Lytechinus pictus: one gene and its partner. The protein of the gene in region 2 purifies or fractionates together with the protein of the main gene of each other region. This does not show direct contact. Links are inferred from orthologs where the notes say so. Each region holds a gene or a part of one and is shown on either strand. Other genes may lie near its edges. The genes, in order: Bardet-Biedl syndrome 7 protein homolog and leucine zipper transcription factor-like protein 1.

Evidence for each region.
Region 1: the proteins of leucine zipper transcription factor-like protein 1 (region 2) and Bardet-Biedl syndrome 7 protein homolog purify together in Homo sapiens (affinity purification with mass spectrometry; 3 studies listed by BioGRID and IntAct, counting the BioPlex papers as one, with this or other methods). This does not show direct contact. The link is inferred for Lytechinus pictus from reciprocal best matches to the Homo sapiens genes LZTFL1 and BBS7.

Annotation. Positions count from the first base shown.
Region 1 is NW_026974140.1:10,645,505-10,656,059, reverse strand, and holds the start of Bardet-Biedl syndrome 7 protein homolog, read right to left. Parts: upstream 5,412-10,555; 5' UTR 5,325-5,411; intron 3,607-5,324; coding exon of another isoform or gene 2,332-3,606; intron 1-2,331. Other genes in the region: uncharacterized protein LOC129265491, read left to right, coding at 2,332-3,606.
Region 2 is NC_087247.1:43,265,914-43,276,468, forward strand, and holds the start of leucine zipper transcription factor-like protein 1, read right to left. Parts: upstream 5,157-10,555; 5' UTR 4,700-5,156; coding exon 4,697-4,699; intron 1-4,696. UniProt on the Homo sapiens protein: Regulates ciliary localization of the BBSome complex. Together with the BBSome complex, controls SMO ciliary trafficking and contributes to the sonic hedgehog (SHH) pathway regulation. May play a role in neurite outgrowth. May have tumor suppressor function.

The DNA of each region.
Region 1 (10,555 bases), on a different chromosome or scaffold from region 2:
GATAATACTGGAATAAACAAAGAACAAATAAAGTATAAACAGTCAAAAAGGAGAAAAACAAATCACACTAATAACTAGGAACAAACAATGAATACCTAAAACAAGTGATTAAGTATCGATAACAAAGGCGGCAAGATGGCGACGAAAACAGACTGGGTAAGTAAACGCTCGTGCTCTTAATTATTTTTCAAATTTACTACTATTTATTGAATAAATATATGGAACGTTGTCAATTTCGGGGGGTAAATATTGTTTTGGCCCATGTACGTTAGTTTGGGCTCAAAACGATAAGTAAAATGTCTGATTTAGGTCTAGTTTCATCGTGGGAAAACCTACAGTATATAGAGAGTAATGCACTAATGGTAACCAGAGCCAGGCTTCAATGGAGAGTAAGCCTACGTACAGCACTCATCCTACGAACGAGGTTATAATATAACCTCGTTCTCGGCTGTATACCTCTCTATTGTTAAAATTGCTCATTTCCCCCCCCATCCGTTGCCCAAAGCATCGCGAATCAGTTCATACTTGAACTGATCCGTTGATGTAAAATGTTATTTTGACGGATATGACTTTGAATTAATAAATATGATATTAAAAATGAGTAGAAACTCACCGATTTCTCAACCTGAACCTCATCCAAATGCCTCCATTACGTCTATGGTGTACGACAGTGACAAATCAAAAAAGAAAAAAGATCTCACGAAACCATAGAGGCTCATCAACCCGTTTGGACCACTGACCGTTGAGGTTTCGACGAAACTTTGCTCGTAATGCATTCTGGTAAGGAAGTCTTGATAGCCTCAATCAAGACAAATTTGCAATTTTGTTTCATATTGATACAAAGTCAAAAGTGATACTAGTAGTTGTGAAACTGAAATGAAATAAGACATTTTTGTATGAAATAAAAAAATAAAGGAGAAATTCAGTTGTTTCGATTTTGTTAATTTTCTGTTTAATATGGGACTCTTGATGAAGAAGCCCCTTATTCTTTTCTGATTAATGAACTTGTCGATAGAAATATTTTTACAAAGTTAGGCATTAATTTCCGAATTATTGATGTAACAGAAGTTCGGAATAACGAACTTTGCTGTGGGTCTAATCAGGGGAGAATCCAGGATTTTCCAAAGGGGGAGGGGGTGGTTTCTTTTACAGAAAAAAATAACAAGCTCCCCCCCCCCCCCCGTGAAGGAGATTTATGTAACGATTAATTTCACAATTATGATAACAGCTGCTTGCTATACAGTATGAAGTTTCAAGTTTGTTTTCATTGATTTAAAATCTAAACCTAAAGGGTTTTCATTAAAAAAAAAAATTAAAAAAAAATCTCTTACCACAAAGGCCTATTTAGGCCTAGGGGCAGATCAAAATTTTCAAGGGGGAGGGCGGGAAAGTTTCAAGTTAATTTAATTGATTTCAAATCCAAACATAAAGGATTACAATCAAATGAAATTAACAATTTATACAAATTATCAAACAAAATGGATGCAAAATAAATGTGTTCTATGGCTTTCGAGGGGGTGGGCACGAGCCTGATGTGCTCCCCATCCTGGATAAATAAAAGAAACTCATTAAAAAAAATTGGAACGTAATTATGTTCTGTTTTATCACTTTGTCTTGAGTTTCTTGCCCCTTCCATTTTTTTCACATTTCACCCTTTACCCATATTAATTTCAGGACGGTACAAAATGTGGGCTTACAAAAGTGATATGATGATGAAAATGAATATTCCATAACAATATGAAAAATAATAGAAAACCAAAATAATAATATTAATAATTAACCCTTACAATGATAATACTCAATAAAAGAGAGGGATCGGGGGATCGAGAGAAGAAGCAATAACCCCCCCCCCCAAAAAAAAGGCATCATATTTCCTTTCACCATACGACAAGATACAGTTCATTATAGAATAAACTAAGCTGATGGCGCTACAACAATTATTCTTATGTATAAAATAATTATAACAAAATATTGTGTGTCAGGGGAGAAAGAGACTACTATCGCTGGATCTCGGAGATCCGAAATAGAAGCATCACCGGAAACAGGTATCTGTGGTGAGAACATAGAGATATATACTAAGCATTTTTATACAGCTCTGTAGAGGACAGTGGTGTGGTCGCTTCCGTTAGCTTTCTTTAATTGAGCACAAGAGGGCGCGTTACATCCTCTATGTAGAAGTCTATGCGCTGCTGAGGATCATGACAAATTTCATCATCGCTGATGTGGTTTACGGTACACCATGTGAAGTGTTGTAGAAACAGTGGATAGGAGAAGAGAAGAAATGGATAGGCGAGAAAGTGGAGATTTGACAAACAACTACAAGGAGCAGCCATGGGTTCACCTCTCTCACCAATCATCGCTAACATCTTCATGGAACATTTCGAGCACCAAGCACTCAAGACTGCGGACAAACCTCCTTCACTCTGGCTCCGCTATGTCGACGACACCTTTGTCATCTGGCCGCACAGCACACCCGACCTTCACCAGTTTCTCAACCACCTCAACCACCAGCACCCCAGCATCAAGTTCACCATGGAGACCCAACGCGACGACTCAATCCCTTTTCTAGACGTTCGCATCACCAAGACACCATCTGGATTCCCATCTCACCAGGTGTACCGGAAACCCACCCACACAGACCGCTACCTCAATTTCCGCTCACACCACCACCCATCCGTCCACCAATCAGTCGCCCGCACTCTCATCAGACGAGCCCACCAACTAAGCGACAAGGCACACTTACAGCAGGAACTCAAGCACGTGACCAATGCACTCACCACCATCAACCATTACCCCAGGAGAAGGATTAACACTCAACCGTCCAGCCACCAACCCAACACCAACAGCACCGAAAACCCATCCGAAACCAAGCCTATCGCCACCATAACACTTCCCTACATCGGCAAGACTTCACACCGACTACAACGCATCCTTCACTCTGCCAACATCCTCGTCAGACACCAATCCTCCCGCAAGCTACACTCCATCCTGCACTCTCATAAGGACAAGCACCCATCCAACAAGCAACCAGGCGTCTACAAGATCCCCTGCGACTGTGGCAAAGTCTACATTGGAGAAACCGGCCGAGACTTCGACACCAGACTCAAGGAACACAAGACCCACCACCGACGCAGCGACTGGGACCGATCTGCCATCGTCAAACACGCACAACAAGAAAATCACAGCATAGACTGGGACAAGAGCCACCTAATCACCAACATCCGGCACTGGAATACCAGAAGGGTCAGGGAAGCCATTGAGATACATCAACACAACACCGTGCCTCAAGACCCTGGTCTCCACATCAACACAATCTGGCACCCAATCCTACGTCACCACCCAACTTCCAACCAATCCACAACCAACTCCACAAGCAACTCGCCGTCCACCGTCACCCTACCAAGCCCTCCTACCCAACACAGCAGTCTGAACGAATCACCAACTCAACCAGCAACTTCGCCGACGCACACGCCACCGACACCGACGCCTCGCTACAACCTCCGCCGACGACCCAACACCTCATCCGTACACCAGGCCACCCACTCAATCCCGCCGAAGCCTACCCGACGAGTCCGCCGACCAACACGCACGGAACGCCACCACTGATGTACCTACCACGCCGCCGACACACACCGCCGCCGTAACTCACCCCGCCGTCTACTCACCGCGTCCGCATACCACGCCAACTCGTTTCCCGCCAAAAACCGCCGACCCACGCACAGAGCGCCACCTACGACGTCCGCCCGCCGTGACCGCCGGCCCAGCGCTTTCCCCCACGTCCGCACGAACGCCATAAGTACCGCCGCACGCCAAGCGAACACTCACTCCTGAAGACGGACAGTCAACCTGCCCGAAACGTCGAGTCTCTCTACTACTCATCATCTCTACTCGCCGACTCAAGCCAGCATCTCCTCACTAGCTCTACTACTCAAGCTGTTCTCAACTCATCAATCTTTCCTGGTTTACAGTCCTTTTCAGGACTACTTTCAAGAAAGAATAATCTACTCTCAAATCTCCACTTTCTCGCCTATCCATTTCTTCTCTTCTCCTATCCACTGTTTCTACAAGTTACACTTCACATGGTGTACCGTAAACCACATCAGCGATTGTACATACCACCATGCAAACCTTCAAACAACAACCAAATTTCATCATACATTCCGACGATTTCTCGAAGAGTCCTCGAATAAATGACAATATATTGTTGAGTCCAAGATAAATTCCAGCAACAACGGAAGGAAGATCAATGTTTGGTTCGGGAGAAAGACTGGTAAGTCAAACTCTCTTACTTTTACATTTTACAAATTTTGTCTATGAGTACGCCTCACATACCTCTAGTCCCATCCCCTACCTTTTGCTGTATGGAAAATGGTCGGGGATGACGAGTGACGTACAGTAGATACTTTTACTCTCCAGAAGCCTCCAGGCTAGGACCACCATACTATAGACCAAAAGCTTCGGTCTCTTGCTGGGCGTTGTGGCGTGCGCCTGTAATCCAAGCTATGCGGGGAAGTTACAAATTGATGCAGAGGTTCGAGGTTCGAGCCCTGGTCACGTCTTTCGGATGGTGACGTTAAAGGTCAGTCCCAGACGTAAATAATCATATCTGATTGATACACGTCTGACAAAAACTCATAACACACTTTTATGTTGGTTGTTCCGCTGAACTCTGTTGGCTCCACTCACCAAATACAGAGTCAGAGACCGAAGTTCTAGCTCGATCTGTACAGGGACTCAATGGCCATGTTTATGTATTAAGTTCGGATAAAACAGGGAAGTGAAGTTGCGCGGCAGCCGAAGTAAGTCACTGTTAATTCCCCGTTTTGGTGAATTTCAGGCTAAAAGTAAAACGGAATAACAATCTTTATTTTGGAATTTGGTAAAGTTCTTTTTGTATATTTTTTATTTTTTAATTTATGAAATAAAGACAAAAATCGATGAGCCCCGTCAGATTTTGCATTGTTAATCGGCCTAACGGTGGCTGCACGATAGCGAGCTGTGTATGAGGAGAAATAAAAAATGTAAAAAATAAAAAAAACTCCTCGAAACAGACGGCTGCCAGCGCCAGCTGTCTAGGTCTAGGACTAGGACCACCATAACCGAGTCGACATTCGTCTGACTTACATTACATTCAATATGTGGGACTAAACTGAGCTCAAACTCAAACTCAAAGTCAATCTATGGAAAGTAGAAATTATATAGCTGCACAACCTGCCACTATTACAACCAGAAACCTTAAAAGTTTATACATACAATGTTAGATGTAAAAACAGACAACACTATAAAATATAACTGTTACAAATTACATGATAAGATCCAATTACCTTGAATAATATTTGCTGCATTCGTTGCTACGAACGCTCCACAAATTCTGCAAAGGAAAATTTTCATATGGAATTCGACGTTTGCTGCCCTCTAGCTCTAGCTCTAGCTCTGTAGTTGATCGACTAAACATGGATATGGAGATGATCATTATATTTGTTATTGACTTAATTTAGCTCTTTCAGTTGTCTAAACCATTGCAAATTGATAGAAAATGATATTTGTGAGAAATGAAATCACAGTGATTCAGGTTATTCTCAGTATATGCGAAATATCAGTGATCATAACAACGCAGTTACTTCCTTCGAAATAAAGATAAAAGTATAATTGCAGTAAAGAAGTTTCGTCGATCTCCTCTAACGTTATGATAAAACGATAAAACGATAAAACAGATGTTGGACATTCACAAGTCATTACGCCCCTTGGGAATTGTTTCTCGAAGAAACCGATATAGATGAGACATGGGAAATGTTTCATGACTTGTTTGATGCCTAATCACGTACGTGATTGCATTCCAAAATATGTGGGTCGTTCCAAAAACGCCGGCCTCCGAGATCAGGGATGAGTAAAAAAAAAAAGCAAAGAAATCAGGCTTGGACATACATTGGGAATTGATTAAACAATTACGGCATCAGATAAAAATTATCACACGAGTAGATCATACCATTCATAGGTTTTCCCCATTCATATACAAATCCCTTATTTCCTGATAATTGGAGAAATTATCTTTAATCGTCAGGGCCGCCCACTGCAGAACACAAATAAATAAAATATTGCAAATGCGAGCTCGATTTGTTGGATATTTCCTTTATTCACACCAAAAATTTATTGAACATTATATCCATTTTTTTAAAGACCATGATCAAGATATGCATCTCTCCAACCAAACAATGCGAGCGCGAATGAAGCACGAGCTAAATTTTTGACATTCCGAGTTGAAAGATTGGCATTCTAAGCAGGATGTGTATCCAGCTATGGAGGGTTACCTACTCAGTGCGAGGTGGAAATTTTTGACATTCTGACCTAAAAACTGATCAGTTTCAGCACATGTTTGAATAAAGAACGAGCTTTGTTTAAACAAAAAGGGTGAAACCAACTAACAAGCTGTAAAACTTGTTAAGTGGTAGTATATAAATGAATATGATGGCGCTTTATCTCTCCAGATCATACGCGCCAGAACTGCTTGTTGTATTAGGTGAGCGGCCAGAAGCCAAAAAGTGGCTTATTTATTGACTTTAATCCCCCCGGCTGGATCAAAGCAAAATCATACATCAAATTAAAGGAAAATTTCTGAATTTTTCGGATTTGGGCATTAAAAGTGACGTAATGTGTAGCATCACCATGGAAACCGGCCTTGATTAAGCCACGCCCATTTTAAATACATATTGAAAATTTATCGTGAATATTGATTTTTTACTATTTAATTTAAATCATCAGGTATTTTTTCTTATTTTTAAAGGATAGTTCCACTTTATATTGTAAGAAGGATTACTGAATAACAACTTAGCATGAATTTTATGAACATTTTCTCAGAAATTGTTGCCTAGCAACATAACTTTCCTTAGCAACCAGTTGGCTCCTTAAGTAAACCACTTATTTTTCCATTTCAAACCTAACTTTTAACTTTTTAACTAGGTTAGATTAAACCTAATAAGTTACACCAATGAAATTCTATAAAGTATTATTGAAAAATAATAAAAAGAACTAAAAAACCCATTTTAACTATTGCAAACCTCAAATAAATGTGCTAAGCTCTACTTAACACACCCCCTTCTATCGTACAAATCGCCATATTATTGTTCATTTTGACTACATTGATATATACGTACGTACAAGTCACATACTTTATACTATTTTGTGGTGAAAAAAGTGGATTGAGTTAATAATACCTGATCAATTAACATGCAGTATCTTGTCTTCAATAGAACAACAACAAAATTACCATTTCACATTACCCATGGATACCAATTCATTGCCTAGCAACGACTATTTTCCATAGCAACGACTATGATAACGACTCTCCTCCCTGGACAAATCTGTGTAAAAATAGTTCATTATGAGCAATAATACTGACACAATTATCATTTAGATGCAGCCTACAACCTCGTTTTCAATAATCATTCAACAAACTGACTATTTTTTAGCTTCCATGGAGACAAATGTGTTGCCTAGTAACAATATTCCCTAGCAACGGCTATGTTACCACTCTTCATCTCGGTCAAATGTGCTGAGGAAGTTGTGCCGTAGAGTAAAAATATTGAGAAAATTAACATATGATAGGTTGTTAAACAGTATTCAGGAATTTACCATCATCTACTGACACAATTCCATTGCCTAGCAACACTATTTACCTTAGCAACGATGTATTTTACCCTTAAACAATCTTGAGGAAAATAATCCACTTTTAAGTGTACAGTACCATTTGTAAAGGGATGGTCCAGGCTGTACATGTAAATATTTCTATCTAAATAAATAGAGTAAAATTCACAAAGCTAAATGCTGAAAATGTCATCAAAATCGGATAACAAATAACAAAGTTATTGAATTTTAAAGATTATCAATATATTGTGAAAACAGTTATATGCACATCGTCATGAATATTCATTAGGTGGGCTGATGATGTCACATCCCCCACTTTCCTTTTTCTTAGTTTATTACATGAAATCATAAATGTTATTTTATACGTGCGTACATGATGTGTCTTCAATATGATGAAATAAGTTGCGGCAATAAATAACTAATGTGCTTAATCAGTTGTCAATCCAATTGTTCCTTGGTAGAAATATTTTAAATAAATCTAATTTCATATAATAAAATACAGAAGAACAAGTGGGGATATGACATCATCAACCCACCTAATAAATATTCATAAAGACATGCCTAGAACTGTTTTACCGGAATAATGCAAATCTTTAAAATTCAATAACTTTGTTATTTGTTATCCGATTTCGATCAAATTTTCAGCATTTTGCTTTGTGAATTTTACTCTATTTATTTAGATAGAAATATCTCCAGCCTGGACCATCCCTTTAAATAATATGCCTACATGCATACTGGCAATGGCAAATTAAAGGACACCACTTAATTTATCTCATTTCTAAAAAAAAAAAAAAAATTATCCTTGTTTGTATATTGCTTGTCTACAAATTCTTAACAGTACGATGAGCATGGTATTTAAACTTAATCATATAAAAAGAGCAGCTACAAAGAGAAATGTAAATGTTGAAGATATAAAGAGATTAATATGGTTTTGAGGATTAATAGCTGGGTACAGTGGCGTAACAACGGAGGGGCATGGGGGGCACGTGCCCCCCCCCCCAATCGGCTGACCCCCCCAAAAAAGAGGAAAAGGAGAAAAAGAGGGAGAAAGGAAGAGAAACGTAGTGGGAAAGAAGACATTATTGTTCATTATAATGTTATATTATTTCATAATTATGTTATGTTATAGTACATAAGAAACATTTTTTTCATAACTTTATGAAACACAATTTGCTCGGGGCCTATGTCTTCATTGTTCCTGGTGCTCACATTGTCTGTTTACCGAGATATATAATCCTGTTATACTAGAACCTCCCGTTTTCTAGTCAATATGCACCAAACTGCCAAATATATTTCCTCGCACTTCGAGTTATTATTGTTTTATGTACAATAGTATGCTTCTTTTTCATGACTACTTAAAGTGATTGCCCCATTTTATGGTCTTAATATAAAACATTTCCTCTCCGTGCTTACGTTCGCATTAGTGGATTGGTGAAATATGTCTGCTCTCCATGAATTCCTAGAATCAGTCCTTAAAATGTCCCTTTTTCTAATCAGAATATATTCGCGCTCGCATCATTTGGTTAGTGAACTACGTATGGTCTTCGTGTATTCCTTCAAACAAGCCTTAAAATGCTCCTCTTCAGGTCTGAATTTCCTAAATTTTCAGCTCGCGCTCGCAAGATTTGATTAGTGAGATGGGTATGTTGATCATGATTAATCTGATAATCATGATTACAAGTGCTTTATGTGCATGTTTAGATGTAATTCTAACAGAATCAGCAAGCGCTTATTGGCACTCGCATTAGATGACTATGGTGAGATGTGTATACGCTTAATGGATTCCTAAAATATAGTCCTTAAAATCTTTCTGTTTGGGGGTCAATATTTACAAAAATTTCAGCTTCGCGCTCGCATTATTTAGCGAGACAGGTACGTATCATTATTACAAATCATTGATTATATAATGTCCCTTCTTAGGACTTAATATCAAAAAATTTAAGCTCGCGCTTCGCGCTCGCATTATTTGAGCAGTGAGAGACATATCCGTTTTATGGCACTGTCCTTAAAATGTCTATATTAGGTCAGTATACCTGGCAACTGGGCGCGCTTCGCGCACTCACTAAGTGACTCAAAATTTTTGCTGGTGCCCCCCCCCAATGCTGTGACCCACGGTACGCCACTGGCTGGGTACATAACATATTTTTTCGCTCTTGGCTGCATATTCCTCAAGTGAATATGGAATGGTTAAAAAATGGATGTGTCTTGTCAAATAATACCTAGTCACCCATGCATGTCCAACATCCAAGTTTGTAGCCTAGAGATGCCAAAGCTGTGAGTTCGACAAGTTTCTGTTGAATACTATTAATAAGTGTCAGAAGTTTAATCACAGGGAACTTATGATATAGGAGGGCATAAAGAGGGCATTGTAAATGATTCGAGAGCGAAGCGCGAGTTGATTTTTTTTTGACGTTCTATTCACCTTTTGCCATCATGAACAGGAAGAGTATTTATTAATTTACGCGAATGTGAGCGCGATACGCAAGCAATTTTTTTTTTATAGTTTATTATTTATCATCCTGAAAGGTTTTTTCCCTACCATCCCAGAAGGAAAAACCAGTAAGACCAGTAAATTTTTTACTGGTTAATTTCCAGTATATTTTCACTGGTTTCCAGTGTATTTTTACTGGGCCAGTTGATTTTTAACTGGACCAGTAAAAATCAATTGGAGACCAGTGCCAACAATTGTATTCCAATTGAAGTAAAGTAGTAATACCAGTTAAATTGTTTTTCATCAAACTGGTGTTACTGGTCCAATAAATGGTTTCCAGTAGATTTTTACTGGGCCAGTTGATTTTTAAATGTACCAGTAAAAATCAACTGGTGACCAGTTCCAACAATTGTATTCCAGTTAAAGCAAAGTACTAATACCAGTTAATTTGTTTTTCATCAAACTGGTGTAACTGGTCCAATA
Region 2 (10,555 bases):
GGCTGCATGGACTAGGCGCTAGGTATGCTAGACTGCCATTGATTCTGTGTGTGTGTGTACGTCTCTGAGCTGTGTGTTTATTGCAGAAAATGGCGCAAATTTTGCAATTCGAATTATAAACTTTTTTGAAAGAAGAAATTAATGATATTGTTTTTCTTTGAACTCTTTTTCGTTTCTTTATTTTGATGGTGAAATATGGGGAATCTTTCTAAAATATAATTTCCATATGAGAATTTTGCTTGCCCGATTCGGGCAAGCAGTTTTTGTCTTTGCTTCAAAACACTTGCCCGACTCTAACTTTTACTTGCCCCGGGCAATCGGGCAAGTGCTTATGTCGCACCCTGCTGTAGTGTACATAGTTTTGCATATGGAAAAGGGGAAGAGAAGAGAGAAAGGGAAAGAATGAGAAGAAAAAGAGGGGGGGGGCAAGAAAGGAAAATGGAAAGGGTAAAAGAGAAAAGTAGATGAAGGGAAAGAAAGAATATAGATATAAGAAAGTCAAACGCGAGGAAAGAGTGAAAAGAAAGGAAAGGAAAACATAATGTGAGAAAATTAAAATCATCCCGAAATACTAATAAATAAGTGAGAAAGAATTAAGAGACTACAAATGTTTGTGAAAACGGGGGTCCTTGGAACGGGTCGCCTGCGTGAGTGCGTATGCATCCCTATGGCTATGGAAAGTGCATGCAGCTAGCCCGGCGGCACGAGCGCCGGGTGCGCTAGCACAGAGGCGATGGTCGGACAGCGCTCTGCGGCCGCTTTTCATCAAAATTGCGGCTCACTGTAGCAGATCAATGCAGCCGGAACGGCCTAACAGAAAATATGCGAAGCTTTTGGAGCAGATTTCTTTCTTCTTTTTTCTCGATAAGAAGAAAATGCTATGCTTTGGAGCGGCTTTCTTTGTTCTTTTTCTCAATAAGACAAAAATGCTATGCCATGGAACGGAAATTTGAGTGTAAAAATGGGGGTCCCCACCGCGGCACATACCCACTATGCATTATATACTGAGTGCCCCCCCCCCCCCTCCGGAGGGTCCGTATTTTGTCAACATGGAGAAAAATCATTGCTTAAGTACGTTCCACAGTTAAAATGAAGTCCATGTCATTTTCACCAAATTTTGCAGAGAATTACTTTGGTATCTATGCATTATGAAAGTGCAAAAAATTATAGAGGTTCATGTGCTTATTTTTTTTTCTATGGGTCTTCAAAGTCGCCGTATTTGAATGATATGCAATCTTGCGCAATCAAGAGAATTATGCCTCTCTTAGACCTCACAAATTCACCAAATGAGTTTAAATCATCTTTACTCAGTGGATACCGCATCAAACTTCATCAAATTTTCAAGATATATAACAAAGTGTATACCAAAGTAAGAAAAAGTCTTTAATTGGTAAAACTATATCTATTTTGAGTCAGCAGCGCCCTCATTTGGCAAGAATGGTGCAAAAACTCAGGTAAAAAACCAAATCTTCAAAGACGTGAATCTACTCAAAAATTAAAATAGTATTTTGTAAGCTGCACTTTTTTCAAAATCCATGTCATTTTCATCAAATTCGGCTAAATTGTAGAGGAATGCATATCCAAGGTGTAGGGAAGTTAAAAATTGGGGGTTCATGTGCTTGTTTTTTAACTATAAGTGTCCAAAGTGATGCGAGTTGGCATGAAAATCACAGAAAATGCGCCCAAAACATGCAAATGTCTCTTAATACCCTCTAAAATGCAAATGGTTCCATATTTTGCTCCCTAACATTAAAAATCCATGTCATTTTTATCATACTCTCTAGATTTGTAGAGGAATATATTATAAAGGCATTAAAATATTAAAAATATGGGGTCCATGTGCTCGTTTTTAATCTATCAGTGTCCAAAATGTTGCGAGTTGGCTTGAAAATATTGAAATCCACCTTAAATGCGCCGAAAACGTGCAGAAGTCTAATACCGTCTAAAATGCGAATGGTTTCGTAGTTTTGCTCACTAGCATTAAAAATCCATGTCATTTTCATCATAATCTCTAGATTTGCAGAGGAATATATTCTGATGACGTTAAAATATCAAAAACATGGGGTCCATGTGCTCGTTTTTAAACTATCAGTGTCTAAAGTGTTGCGAGTCGGCTTGAAACAGTCTATAATGCGCCTAAAACGGGCAACAGTCTAATACCGTCTAAAATGTCTACAATACAAATGGTTCCTTAGTCCTGCTCCCAAACATTCAAAATCCATGTCATTTTCATCATACTCTCTAGATTTGTAGAGGAATATATTCTGAAGAAGTTAAGACATTTAGACTATGGGGTCAATGTGCTCCTTTTCAAATTATCAGTGTCTGAAGTATTTCGAGTTGCATTGAAACAGCCCAAAATGCACCGAAAACAAGCAAAAGTCTGTTAATACCGTCTAAAATGCAAATGGTTCCGTAGTCTTGCTCCCAAACATTGAAAATCCATGTCATTTTCATCATACTTTGCACATAGATACCTTAGCACCTAAATATTTAAAAATTAACATGGGTCCATGTGCTTGATTTTCTGCTATAGAGCTTCAAATTTAACCCAACATGGATGATGTTCTTAAGAATTGCGCATTCAAAAGAATTTGGCATTTTTGGACCTCACGAGGTCACAACAATGAATTTAAAGCTCTATTACTCAGTCAAAATTCATGAAAATTTCATCGAATTTTGCAATGTGATTAATAATTGTATCCGTAAGATGGATAATCTATTTATATTGTTGTCAATTGTTTGCTCATTTAAGTCTAACAACACTCTCAGTTCTTAGAAATTGCGGGATTGATACTCAACCTCAAAAATTTCAAATTTCAATAACAAACTTGAGAAGTAAAAGAAATGCTGCATGCACTTTATTCAAAACCCATGTCATTTACACCAAACTTTGCAAAGTTGTAAAAAAATGTAAAGGAAGGTATACCTATAGAGGTGCAAACATTAAAATATATGGGTTCATGTGCTGGTTTTCAAACTATCAGCACTCTTATTAGAGCAAATTTGCTTCTTAAAACACCCGAAAAGGCGCCTAAAGCTTTGTATCTATGTGAGGAAAAATTCCGAACTTCTTTTCCATTATTCAAACTCGGGGTCATATTCATCACACTTTGCAGCACTACAAAGAAAATATTTTTAAATTGTAGAATAGAAAAAATGGTACATGGAGGAATTGCAGTTTATTACTTATATTAGCTTCATAAAATAACACATCGGATCTGCAGTAGTGCTAAGGAGAAAAATCAGCTCACAATTCCTACAGCTGATAATCACCAGTTCATCCATTGTGACGTCAGCGCGCAGAGTGTAAAATATGCGCAGATCATGATGCGCACAAACATAATAACTGTGGAACCGGAACGTCCTTAAATGATGCTATTTGACTTTGAGGGACATTCATTATGACTTCACATCGTTCGGTAAGTTTCTTAGAAGTAGGCCTAGGCCTACCGGTATACCCAGTTGTTGTGTGTCCGGACAGGTTGTGTGTCCGGACGATCAATTTTAGAAAGTCATTTGGAAAAAATTACAAGCGAAGTTTCATCAAATTTTAGTACAAAATTTTAGAAAATATTATAGAGAACAAAATAGAAGATGATTACAACTATTGAATTAATATTTTTAGTGTAATCTTAAGACAAAAAAGAAGGCTTCAAAAATATAAATAGGGTGTCTGAAGCCACACTGAAAAGTGTCAGCATAAAACAGGCTAATTTAGGGGAAAATATGGCACATTTTTTCAGGGAAGTTCAGGCTACTAGAAAAATGTGATCTGAATTGATTATTAACTTGTGTTTGGCATGTATGGAAAGAGAAAATTCAGGGGCATCTTTTGACAGTAAGGACAAGTTTATATGATCATTTTAAATAAGGATTTAGAGATAAATTGCAAACCCTTATTTTTGTGTGTGTTGAGATTGCCATTTCTCCATGCGTTTTCTATGGGAAAATGAAATTTCTGTTTTGCACAATTTTTTTCACTTTGTCGCAATTTTTCATTGTGATCTGGTTTCCAAATCTTTATGAAAATCATACCATCAGATAGAGCATAAAAAATCCTATTGGACTCTTTATGGACAAGTTTTTGGCATTAATAATAAATTTATAACAGCTCTCGGAAGCTAAATATTTGGATTTGTGTGTGTCCATTTCTTAACTACACAGTCTATGGCAGAGAAATGCTGAAAATTTACCTAATTTCATTCTTCTTTTTTGCAGCCAATAATTGGATTTTTTTCAAAATTTTTACATTTCTGTCAGTCTGAAGGTAATTTCTCTTCAAATTCACAAAGAAAATGTGATATTTTCTTGAAATAAGAAAAATAATTTTTTTCTCCAGACACCCTAATATAAAGTGTCCGGACACCCGATCCCCCATCCTACTTAGTTTTCCAATTTTTGTGTGAAATTAGCAGGAGTTTGTTACAATTTTGCATGCGCCGTGCCTTCAATTTTCCAGTACATGGCGGCAGTATTAAATGCACCCATGGGTGGTTATGAATATGAGTATGACGCTGCCGCAGCAAAGCCTTAATTCGCAAGCGAAGGCGGCTCGCACTAGCGGCCGAAGCTCAGGGCAGGGTGCTGGCAGGGGGGCGGTGCAATCCCATCGCGGCAACTGAAAACTGGGCAAAAAGAAGTTGCAGCCAAGTACCCGTACGGTACGGTACCGTATATTATGAGTCATATTTACCATTATTCAGTTCAGCAACGGTACTGTAGTTTTATCAGCAATCTGAAGAGACAAAGAGAAGAGTTAAAACGAGCTGAAAGTATTTGTAGGCATACGCAGAAAAATAATTCAGACTTCAGTTTACTCCAAACCAGGGTAACGATCTTTGGTAACGATAGTACGCGCGATGTCGAGTGCGTGCGGCCGGTGTGGTCGCCGAATAGTCCGGAGCTGTGCGCTCCAAAATGGCTAGCTGATCAATTGTTCCCACCAGTACAGTGCTTATTTCCACTCTTCCCGAAATCCAGGAAATTCAGGGAAGCTTTCCGGGAAGTTGTCTTTTCCAGGAATCATATCATTTTTCTGAATATTATGTCAAAATCTATCTAAAATTGGATCTTTGTAATGACAAATTTTTTGCTCGCTCGCAATTTTTTTGCCTGATACGTACGGTACGCCATGCATATTTCGGCTCAGTTTTGCCCCCTCAAAATTTGTTGGCTCATAAGAATACGGTACGGCACTGGGCCCTATGCGTCATCTTTTTTGTGTATAGAAGAGAAGTTTAACATTTTATGGGAGACTGGACAACATCTGTAAAATTCAGGGATATTTTGTGAAATTCCAGGAACTTTCAGAATAAATTCAAGGACTCGATTTTGTATTGAAAAGTGGAAGCTCTGCGCTAGTACCAAACGGCTAGTCGATCGGGCCTGCCAAATTCCTGGCCAAATCCTAAAGACTGATTCAAATTTTGGCCGATACGAAAGGAGAGCCGCCGTTTGATTCCACATTTGTCAAAATTTTCGAAGGTAGTAAGTATAATTATTTATAAGTATAATTATTGACGTGATGTTCCTTTTCTGTCCTCTTTTCTTTGTACGTTGTTCTCGGTTGTAAGTTAGAACTTTTGGTGCATGCGGATCGGGGTAATGGCGGCATCATGATTTCTAATTTAGGGGCCGGGGGGGGGCAAAAGAACATTTGGGGGGCAATACTTTTTCGCCTATTTCACAAAGCTATTTTTTAAATAGGCCCCACTGACTTGAAAAGGGAACTATTATAGTATAGGACTTTTGCATTGGGTCATGAAAATGATATCTCACCAAATATATAATGCGAGCATTAAAGAAGCACCTAAAACTGGAAGCTACCCGAGAGCAATATAACCAGTAAAAACCAAACATTTTGTACAGTTAGTTTCTAGTATTGTAGATAATGTAGGGTATGTTGAAATATAATCTTGTTTCATATATTAGGAGGATTGTTGTTTGCTTCAGATGTTTGCATATTATTTGACTGATGGATATGTATGTATGTATTTCATTATTATTGTTTTAAAACCATATTCCAGTACTTGTCGTAGTTTATACTTTTTGTTACAATATGTTAATGTTTTATACTAACTATAGGACCCCATTGGAAATAAGCCTTTCGGCTTTCATGGGCTATCCTGTCAAGGTATTCTTCAATTTTATTGTAATCTCCTGTGATATTCTTGACGAATAAAATCAATCAATCAATCAATCAATCAATCAGCGCGAAGCGCGAGCTGAAAATTTTGGATATCCTGTGATGATAACTGGACGTTCTAAGCCGCACTTTTCGTAATCATGAACTGGATGGTTATCTAACTAAACAATTGATGCTAGCGCGAGCAGAAAATTATAAAAATTACTAATACGCAGGATGTGTATCTCGCTAAAACCAATAATGAAAACTCTAATCGCGAAAAGCATAGGCCCTATTGACTTGGGGTGGCGGACACTGGATTTTTAAGCCTCATGTGAACAGATAATTTACTTATCTCAGGCAACAATTACTGCGAGCGCGTAGCGGTAGCGAAATGTTAAAGTTTTAGTGACGAAATATTGTTGGGAGCTATACAGTGAATGGATAAGCACATTTTCAAAATTAAAAGAACGAAAATGCGGTTTTGGATCACTTTACAGCTTTAGTAGGATGCTTATGACATTATTTTAGTTTTATAGTTTTTAGTTTTTAAAATTTATGGGGAGGGGCAAGTGGGAGGCCAACTCACGGGGGGGCAAATGCCCCCTGTGCCCCCCCCCCCCATTGGTGCCGCCACTGTTTCGGGGCGGAGCTCCCGGAACTTCGTAATATTTTTAAAACATTGCAGATGGCCATTTTTTATCCAATCGCGGGTATACCGTATGCACAACAACACATAACTTTAACGCAGTTGCGGATAAAAAAAACGAAATAATTTGAGGCAACACAACATAATAGCAATGTGGTAACATTTGTAAAAAGTCGCGAGCGACCGAAGAGAGCCAGAAAAAATTGGCCTTTTGAAATTATTTTGTAATGAAATACTCATTATGTGATAGCAGTTTTGGAAATTTAGCCAAAGTATACATTAAGAGGCTTTTCGCGATAAATCTAGCCAGCGTAAAGCTTTACTTATAGGTTAGGACACAATATAGGGGGATATAACTAACACTTGGCTAGGGATTTTTTTCTGATTGCGACCATTATTGCAAAAATACCAAGTTTATGATATAGACTATACATACACAATTACGCCATCCATCTTTCTTCCCGTTCTTTAAATTTTTCAATCCTCGGCAGCCTGGTCGTGTTATTCAATAAAAAATTCTTCTATTGTTTTCTTGTCGCTTATTATTCTGATTTTCCAAATTATCTTTTGACTCTACCTTCATTTCCTTTTCCTTTTTGCCTCCTTCTCTTATCGCCATTCTTGCCCGTGTCGTTGATTCCCCACGGAAATATTTCCGTGGATTCCCCCCATGCTTATCATGCTAATTAGTATTTCAGGATATTGTTCTTCTTTCCTTCTTTTTTCCCGCTTTCCTTCCACTTTCCCTATTTATGCTTTGAAATCTGCCTATCATAATGAAATAATTAATGAAAGGTCGTTTGACCAAAATTGCCCATGAGGTAACTCCGAACTGGTCTATTCATAAATTCAGTAAGATTCTCAAATCGGCAATGTGCCGTTCTATTGGTGATGTTGATTTGAAGGAGCCAATATTATTGGTTGAAAATGATGACTAGAATATCACATTTTCCTATAGGGGTGTTAACGGCGGATCGAAACTGATCGCTTGTTCGGAACAAATCGGCTATCGCACCATCCAACAATTTCCGGAACAAATCGGCGGATAAAAGAGCCGCCGATTAGTTCTGCCTGTACCAATCGACTGCCCGGGTCAATTCGGCTATAACACCAGCGTGAGCTCGTCGTGGGCGCGCGATGTAAAAACTGTATAGCAAGGATAGAAATATTTTACTGTGATATTACTTCAGTGTAGTCCACTATCTCTATGAGTATGATAGCAATTAGCTATATAGCTGAGTACGGTGCTAATGCCCCCAAATTTTATTTTATTCGCTTTTTAATAATGATAATAATAATAATAAGAAAAAAAACCAAGAGAAGAACTTATAAGACTAGAAGAAGAAGAAGAAGAAGAATTAAGGAAGAAAAAGAAGAAGAAGAAGGACTTATAAGACTATAGGGGAACTTCAGATTAAAGGAAGAAGAAGGAGGAGGAGGAGGAGGAGGGAAATAATGAGGAAGAGAAATTAAGAAACGCCTGAGAGAATGATTTAGGCCTGTATCAAACATTTTAGCGTTTTGCATTCGCATTGTTTAGTTATAGATGCTAGCTCTTCCTATACATGATTACAAAAGGTGCTGATATATAGTGTCCCGTTTTTAGGTCTAAATCGTTCCCCCCAAATCAAAAATCCCCTCACGCTTCGCACTCTCATTTAGTAACATCAATATCTTCTTTATAATTTCTCTAGACTCTATACAGCGCTCACCATGTATAAAACAATGTCAACTATTTCATACCTCACACTCGCAATGATTTGAGAAAAACTTGTTCTTTATTTATAGACGTGCTTAAAATACAGTTTTCAGATTTGAATATCAAAAATTTCACCTCGCGCTTCGCGCTCTCATCAGTTGTTAGTTAGATAGGCCTACCCATCCTGATCATGGCTACAAAAAGTGCATAAATAGAATGACAACTTTTCAGGTCAGAATGTAAAACTGCAAACAGTCCTTGACAGGTCCCTTTCGTTAGGTCATTATAAAAAATTTGGCTCGCGCTTCGCACTTCCAATATTTGTTATTTATGCTTTTTGGGATACCTTATATTGTTCGTTAAAAAAAGTTAAGATGTACTTAAAATTTCAGCCTTTAGTTAGTTTTCAGCTGCCGATCGGAAAAAGTGTGGATAAAATGTTTTTCCGCCTCGATCCCTTAAACAGTGCGTATAAAAGAAACGGGACAGTTTTGAAAAGACTATAATTTTTTTTTTCAAATTATGACATCTATATTTTGATGTTAATAGATGCTCTTAAATCTTATCTTTGAAATGTCATTTAAAAATATAAATTTTGTTCATGCTTGAGCGAACACGGTACGTTTTTTATCCGGAGTTCTAAAGGAGGCTTGCGCCAAAATAGCAGAAATGAAATATTTGATGATCAGACTTTTTGCTAATCAGCAGACTTCCTTTTTTTATCTTTGCCACGGTTTTCGAATTATGCTGTCAAATTTATTTATTTGCTTGAATTGTTTTGTTTTTTCATTTAAACTTCTTTTGCCTTTGAATTTTCCTTCATAAGTAAGAAAAGAAGACTTTTGTCAACTGAAGCAAGAAGCTTTGCATTATTAATTGGAAAACTTGTAATTATTCAAATCTTTTTTTTATGTGAAACGAATTGTGTTATGGTACCTTTAAAACATGAATCCTATATTTTCAAGGGGTTATTGAGCCCTTCACCAAGTTTAATTATGTGCTTGACAGGACAAACGGAAAAAGATTCATGGGCTTTCAATGGCAATGGTGTATTGAGTCGATTTGGAAGGAGCTAGATATGGCAGATCGGATAAAATGTTTTAAAAAGTTGTGAGAGATCGAAGCGAGCAAGCAGAAATTTCCACTTTTTTATTAAAATATCAAATTTTGTGATAGATTTTGACATAATATTCAGAAAATAAATCATATTTCACTTCCTATCTTTCCTTTTATTTTCTTTCCACATTTTTATTTTTTTTGAAGGGGGGGGGGGCACCCCGAGCCCCACCCATCTGCATGCCACTGTTCAAAGGCACCATAACCTTTGTAGCACACAATGAAAGGATTTGAAAAAAATACACGCTCTCCCATCATGCCCATACTTCGGTTGAAAAATGTTTGTTTTTGCTCAAAGAAGGAATATTCAAAACTAAAAGAGAACATATTAAAGAGTAACAGCAAGAGAACAACTTAAGCAAATAAACAGATTTGAAAATGAATTTTGACCGCATAATTCGAAAATTATGGCAAAGATAATGAAAAGGTTCAGAGGAAGTCTGCTGATTAGCAAGAAGTGCGATCATCATATTTATCATTAATTTTTATGCCATTTTGGCGCAAGCCTCCTTTTTAGCCCCAGACAAAAACATTCCGTGTTTGCACAAGCATGAACGAAACTAATATTTTTAACAGCATTTGAAAGATGAGACTTCAGAGCACCTATATTGCACTAAAATATAGACATCATAATTTGGAAAAAAAAAATTTATAGACTTTTCAAATCTGTCCCGTTTTTTTTTTATATACGCACTGTATAAAATATATTGGGGAAAGCTGGATCCGCAACTAACGGATCCGCATAAAGGGCCTGATCATAAACTAGAAAGGTCCACTTTTTATGATTCGGAACCCCACCGCAAAAAAAATCCTGGCTATACGGGCCTATTTACCCAACATTGAACTATTGTTTAAACTTTTTTTGTAATTGTTTAAACCTTTTAAATAACTTGTTTAAAAAGTTGCTTAAAAGTTAAAACAGTTGTTTAAAAAGTTTAAACAGTAGTTGTTAGAGTGACGGGCT